Bombyx mori: one gene and its partner. The protein of the gene in region 2 interacts with the protein of the main gene of each other region in a pairwise test. Links are inferred from orthologs where the notes say so. Each region holds a gene or a part of one and is shown on either strand. Other genes may lie near its edges. The genes, in order: DNA-directed RNA polymerase III subunit RPC7-like and DNA-directed RNA polymerase III subunit RPC3.

Region 1 (3,204 bases), on a different chromosome or scaffold from region 2:
GCTCTACCTAGACTGTTACAAGTTAGGTTGACCTCATTCTTACTTTAGATTAGTTTAGATGTAAAAGTATTTGTGGTTTAAAAATTAACAGCAAGCAGAATTAAAATTGACATAACGTTTTTTTTTTATTCGATGTACTAATTCTGATCACAATATTAAGCCAAAGTAATAAAATTACTATATTATTGTCATCAGTCTTTAATACTTGTCTGATACATGTGCAAATAGCACATTTATAATCTTTTCATTTATATACGTAGATAGATGTCAATATTTAAAGTATATTTAAATTATATTTAAATTAAACATCGTTAGTTTAATTTTACAGCTTTACACAAACCCAAAGTCTTCAGGAGAAGTACAAGCTCGGACATCATGTGCATTGAAACAGGCATTACAATGCTGTCTACATAGACCTGCATTAGAGACATTGTTACATTCTGCACCTGCTTGTATATTGAAATATGTACTAGCTCAGTATGCAAAGGTAATTATTCTAGTTAGGCAAATATAACAATAATACACTATTTCAAATGAAACAGTGCTCCAGTAATCAGTAATGATTGATTTTTCGATTGATTAACGATTGATTCGTTTAAATATGATGTAGCAGTTACTTAAGTAGTAAACTTCTTTCGCTGAAATATTCATTTATTTCTATTTTTTAAAGAGTTCTACCAGGCGGGACTGTTTTTCAAATTGCTAATAAAGAATATTTGAAAGTAAAAATTAAAAGTGAAAACTATTTGATTAACAGTTAATTGTAATTATTTTTAATATGCAAGATCAATCAGTTTCAACTGTGTAATATAAATTTGTATATATATATTTCCTAGTAAACAGGTCCATCATCCAAATTATCATCTTCTTCTTCATAATCTTCCCCGTTATCAAAATAGTTATTTGCATAGTCAGTACCATCATCTAGTTCGTATTCTTGCTCATGTTCATCTTCCAGCTCCTCTTCTTCATCTACGTTTTCGTTGTTTAATTCTTTTTTTTTGCCGTCTATCGCCTCATCTGTTTCCAGAGTCTCTTTTTTTTCAAGCGTTTGTAATCTCTTTGCTATCTCTTCGGGATCATCGAGTTTTCTTTTCCTCGGAACAGTACGCGGACGTTTTGCTTGAGGCCGTAATTCGGTAGGCATGTTAACCCACACGCAATCCAATAACTTATTCTGCTTCGCATCAAGTGCTAACATTTTGTACTTATCAGAATATCGCTCTACACCGTCAGTCTCTGTTTTGACTTTAACAAATGCCGGTGATTCGTGTAGATATTCAATGAACTGATCTTTGACAATGAGCATATAGTCAGTGGCGGCATCACATATAAGAGGTAGTGGTTTTTTCTCAAGTTTTGGAAACAGTGGTGGCGGCACAAGTGTTGGAGGAGCATTGTCGCCGCGTGTCACACCTAAGGCTTGTATTTGCTCAGTAGTTAATGATAAACCGCTACCCCCGCGTCCTCGTCCTCTACCTGCCATTGTAACTGTAATCGATTTTTTGATCAGAAAACAATTTGGTGATAGTTAATCTATTTAAATTTGAAACTCCAGATGGTATCTACCTATCTCAAATATATTAAGTGTATAATCTATGGTATCTACGTACCCTACTCATTTGTTATTGTTTTGAATCGGATGTTTTTTCGTTTAATTCTTTCATAAATCAGGTAATAGAGACGTAGCTCATACAGCCAACGTTAAAAAAAATCGTGGCTTTATTTATTTTTCAAAACGTAAAATGCAGCAGTATGAGAATTATTGATAATTTGAAATTGACTATGGCGTGAAATAAGAATAAACTAGAGATGACATGAAATAAGCCTATGTATATTGCCTTCATCATTTGAAGAACGTGAACCAATTACCGTAGTAATTCGTAATGAGGTTCATCATTTATTAGAACAAAATATACGTGCGAATCATTCTCTTGCAGGCTAAATCCAAGAAATGTGTATGTTTTTCTTATTAGGGTCTTTTGCAAGTACCATTTAAATTTCATGGAGTTTCATAATTTCTGAAAAACTGTTCAGTTCAGAAATTATTATACAAATTATAATGAAAGTATAAGGAAGTAGATTATTTATGTTCGTTTTATTTTTTCAGATTCTACCCAACGATGCAAGAGCTAGAAGGCTTTTTGTTACAACAGGAGCATTGAAAAGAATACAAGAAATTGAAACAGTGCCCGGAACGTCCCTGAAGGAGTATATTAATATCATAAACAGTTGCTTCCCTGAAGAAATAGTAAGGTAAAAGACTACCTACTAAAAGAAAATTTGTCCTACTCAAATCTCAACTGTGGGCTTTTATACATTTTTCATTTTCAGATATTATACTCCCGGCTACACAGATTCTTTGCTGGATAGAGTTGAAGCGTATACACCACAAGTATGGAATAAACTCTTATGTATATATTTTCGATAGACACTTGTAGTTTTCATGTATTAACATGTAACTTTCTTTTGTTGAATAGATACCAGAACTTTTTACTGATCGGGTGCCGAGTGATTGCCAAAGCGAAATGAGTATAGAGAAAAGAAATTAGTTTATTTTTCTTATATGTTGTTAAATACAATTTATTAATACTGTTTCAATTTTCATTCTTTGTACATAGTCCAAACAATTTTTTGTAGTTGTACATTTCTTCCACCAATCTTAGATTCTTCTATTACCATTGATTGAGTCAATACTCTGTAACTGCAATAGGATTATGGTTAAATTTGTACACAGACCGATTTATCTGCGGTAAAAATCTTGCCCGATTTAGAGGGTATTATCCAATTCGCTACGAGTGTGTGCTTACAGTCAATTTAGCGTTAAGTAGTTACCTGAGCCCAAAGACATCACAACGTGAATATCACCACCCGGTCGGTGACAAAAGGTCTAAGGGCCCATTTTGGTACTGCTGGTCCACACTTCAAACTAGAATGCAGGACAGCTACGCGATAGAAACACTCAGAATGCGATTGTACATTACGTCAATATAAACCAATTTATATCAATTACCAATCGCAATACGGTTGTTTAACACTCAGAGAACGCTGTTTTCCAATATTTTTAACTTATTTTGTAAAGTTATGGATAGTGTCTAAAATAGAAGCGTAGGTATCTAAATGTTTCTTCAGTCGGCTACGTTAGACGCGCCAATATATAGACGAGCAGATTCATGTATCTCGCGATGACGAGAATTTATATTA
Region 2 (3,739 bases):
AGACATCTACAACGTAAACGCACCACCCACCTTGAGATATAAGTTCTAAGGTCTCAGTATAGTTACAACGACTGCCCCACCCTTCAAACCGAAACGCATTACTGCTTCACGGCAGAAATAGGCGGGGCGGTGGTACCTACCCGCGCGGACCCACAAGAGGTCCTACCACCAGTAAAAAAAAAGCAAAGTTTAACCTGAATATCCTGGCGGCCTTGTAGCCCAGTCTCTCCGTGACCAGCCCCTCCAGCAGCGCCAGCAGGCACCCCCGCGCCGCGCCCGCCCCCCGCACGCTGTACCCCCGCCCCCCCGCGTCCGCCCGCACCGTGCCGCACCCGCTCTCCTCTGTCACACGCAACGCACTCTTTTTTTTCCTGCCTAAGCTAATAAGTTTGAGAGGCTATGTCAGCGTAACGTAAGCGTGTTGCTAACATTAACCCTAGCAAGAGCAGTGCTTCGCAGAATCCACGACCAGATGGTAAACGCGACCCACTGAGAAGATCCAGCGAGAAACTCAGTGGGCTATGTCTATGGGTCAATTTACTCGCCGGGACCTACGTCACAAGCGACGGTTTCGACGAAAACGATGACAGGTGCTTGTGGTGCCTAAAAGCACCGATAATGGATCGGGAGGATCCGAAATGACGCGTCAGATTCACCATAATTCAATATTACTTCAACTCATAATTTATGAATTTTCAATTGTGCATATGTATGTGTATAAATATATATTTCACTGGATTAGTACACCGCACGTAAGGATCTTCTCAGCGGATCGCGATTCCGATCTGGTAGTAGATTCATCCGTGAAGCAGCTGCTCTTGAGTTGTTAGGTCTCCTTTGGAGGTGCTCGGGCAGCTGTTAGCAAATCCTACCCCTTCTGGCTGAGCCTTTGCTCGCCCACCCGTCCTGGTGAAACTGGCAAGGCCTCCAGGCCACCAGTAAATCTTCAATCATAAAAAAAAAATATTCGTTTCCAAATGAATCTTGTCTACCTGATGTTTGTCTGGAAGAGATCGCTCTTAGCGATAACACCTCCAATTGTACTTTTTTATTTAACGTATCGCATTGTTTTTTTTTTGGGTGCACACTAAAGAATACTCACTTACTCATAAAAAAACCTCACCTAAGACCTTCAGATATTGATCGAAATACTGATTCAAGAGGGGCTTGTCAGCAGCGGCCCGGAGACAAGCCTCCCTCAATTCCACGGCCGGCACTAGTGTAGACTCTGCAGCCCACGCCGGAGACGTCAGGTACATGTGTTGCAGCATATGACGAAGAAGCTCACCGGCTGGAGAAGAATACAAAATTCACAACTCATCAGAGGAACTCCAAAGATATCAGTCTGTCCGGCTATTCATATGACAGCAATGCTCGCCGCAAACCTCGTTTGAACAATGACATAAATGTTTGGTTGATGTTGATATATTTTTTTATTGCCCTTGTAGGCAGACAAGCATACGGCCCACCTGATGGTAAGTGGTTACCGTCGCCCATGGACTTCAGCAATGCCATGGGCAGAGCCAAGCCGCTGCCTACCGTTAAATACTCTCCACAAGCCTCCTTTGAAGAGTGACATGACAGTGACATAGTGCTCAGGAAACACCGTGGAGGGGAGCTTATTCCAAAGCCGGATGGTACGTGGCAAAAAAGATCTCTGGAAACGCAGTGGGTCCAGGTAATATGGATGAACTCTACTCCGGTGGCGGGCGGTGCGGTGGTAAAAACGAGATGATGGTATCATCTCAAACAATTCCACAGAGCACTCCCAGCCAGAGATAGCCAGTATTCTCAATTCCTAGGACACTGAAGGCAAATATCAAACCTGTAAAAGTCATAAACTTCTTAATTACAGTAGAGCGTCTTGTGAGCCCGCACAGGTAGGTACCATTCTGCCGCAAAGCAGAGAAAGCAATTGAGTCTTAATCTTCTTCATCCACATATGCAAAAACCAATCTTGGGTAGAACAAAAAAAAATTTCGATGACCTCTAGCATTGCTAACGTATCCCTGTGTCTGCCTCGAAAGACGTTTAAAAAAGAAAACAACATTCACCGTTTTCATCTATTCGTCTTGTGATTGCTTTGATCATAATTTCGTCGCGGATATCCTGATGGAACCTGTCGTAATTAACTTTCCAGTACACATCTGAAACAATAACATAAATATCTCAAATTCTTATTTAATAAATCAATATTGACCAATGGCCTACCAATCTGTCAAATATCTTATATTCAAACATTCATTCATGACTCATGTTGTGGTTTTTATATTGGGGTATCTATGATCATTTAAAATCAGGTAGACCATTAACCAGTCTGCCCAGCATGACCCATCAAAGCTCAACAATGCAGCCTCTCACATCATCTACACATTATAATATTCTTCTTCATTTGATTTGGAATTTGAATATCATTTTCAACAGAGACATCCATAGGTGATGCTCGGACTTATTATTAGGTGGAATGCCAGGCTTTCTTTGACAACAATATCACTAACTTTCGCAACGGTATCTCCAGTTCATATTCTGTTGTTCTACGAGCAGTATTCAATGGAAAATATAATTTGGATCGTGTTAAAATTACTCATTGAGTATCATGTTTAACAGTGACATACATAGGTGATGCTCGGACTTATTATTAGAGGGAATGCCGGGCTGTCTTTGACAACACTATTACTGGGTTTCGCAATGGCAACTCCAGTTCATACTCTGTTGTTCGACAAGCAAGATGATATTGAAATTACTCACTATCACTACTTTCAGCTAGATTTCCAGAATTCATAATTTTAATGACAGCTCGTACATCAATCTCTGGTGTTATAGTTGCGACGGGCACCAGTGTCGGTATCTCGCTGCCTTCCTTCAACTCAGCTACAGATGCCTGCTGTATGTAACCAGCGGTTATCAGACTTATAAAGATATCTTTTAGTTTCACTATAGTCATGTTCTTTTCCTGGTGAAGAAAGCAATATTTATCAGAATAGCTAAAAGAAATGAATACAAATAATTTGCCTAGTAATAAGGAACATTGTATAAATCAAAATATTTTGTGCTTATGGTTTTTTATTATTGCCCTTGTAGGCAGACGAGCATACGGCCCACCTGATGGTGAGTATGGTGAGTATGGTTATGGACGTCAGACAACTACTACCATAAATTTACGCATTATTAGATAACCATAGTAATTATAGTATGTGATATAATATATATTATATTGTAATGTAAAGTAATAAACATTTTGAGTAAAATGGGTTCTTTTTGGAATTCCAGATCTTAAAAGGATAAAAAGAAACCGTTATAGAATCATTTTGTTGTTTTTTTCTGTCTGTCTATCTGACAATGGATATCCGAATTTTTTTTGCATATTCCTGAAACTCAAATTTAAAGCAATGTAATAACAAGGATTTATTATTTATATTGTTAGAGTTATCATGTGCACTGGCCACAACTTAAATTAGGCTTTCTATAAGTTTTTCCTTCTACTATCTTATTTATCATATTAAATGTAAATTGTTCCTGCAAATAAACTGAGAATGCCAGATCTAAATATGCCACTTTAGTGGTGGTGCTTATAAAATGACTATGAACTAAGTACCTTGTCATCTTTATATTTAACAGCAATGGAGACTAATAGCACGGTAGCAGTGGAACATGCCTTTTGTAACAACTCTTCAATCAATATTTCTGCTTCACTACCGTACTTCGTTTTAATTTGTAGTAAATACCTGAAGAAAATTAA

The links.
Region 1: the proteins of DNA-directed RNA polymerase III subunit RPC3 (region 2) and DNA-directed RNA polymerase III subunit RPC7-like interact in binary tests that used the Homo sapiens proteins (3 or more experiments, as listed by UniProt). The link is inferred for Bombyx mori from reciprocal best matches to the Homo sapiens genes POLR3C and POLR3GL.

Annotation. Positions count from the first base shown.
Region 1 is NC_085117.1:13,528,689-13,531,892, reverse strand, and holds DNA-directed RNA polymerase III subunit RPC7-like, read right to left. Parts: upstream 1,768-3,204; 5' UTR 1,614-1,767; exon of another isoform or gene 1,492-1,613; 5' UTR 1,487-1,491; coding exon 833-1,486; 3' UTR 746-832; downstream 1-745. Other genes in the region: sperm-associated antigen 6, read left to right, coding at 1-21, 329-487, 2,111-2,256, 2,335-2,395, 2,481-2,552; uncharacterized protein LOC105842656, read right to left, coding at 2,605-2,704. UniProt on the Homo sapiens protein: DNA-dependent RNA polymerase catalyzes the transcription of DNA into RNA using the four ribonucleoside triphosphates as substrates. Specific peripheric component of RNA polymerase III which synthesizes small RNAs, such as 5S rRNA and tRNAs.
Region 2 is NC_085120.1:9,121,572-9,125,310, forward strand, and holds part of DNA-directed RNA polymerase III subunit RPC3, read right to left. Parts: intron 3,726-3,739; coding exon 3,596-3,725; intron 2,954-3,595; coding exon 2,749-2,953; intron 2,148-2,748; coding exon 2,055-2,147; intron 1,292-2,054; coding exon 1,124-1,291; intron 376-1,123; coding exon 195-375; intron 1-194. UniProt on the Homo sapiens protein: DNA-dependent RNA polymerase catalyzes the transcription of DNA into RNA using the four ribonucleoside triphosphates as substrates.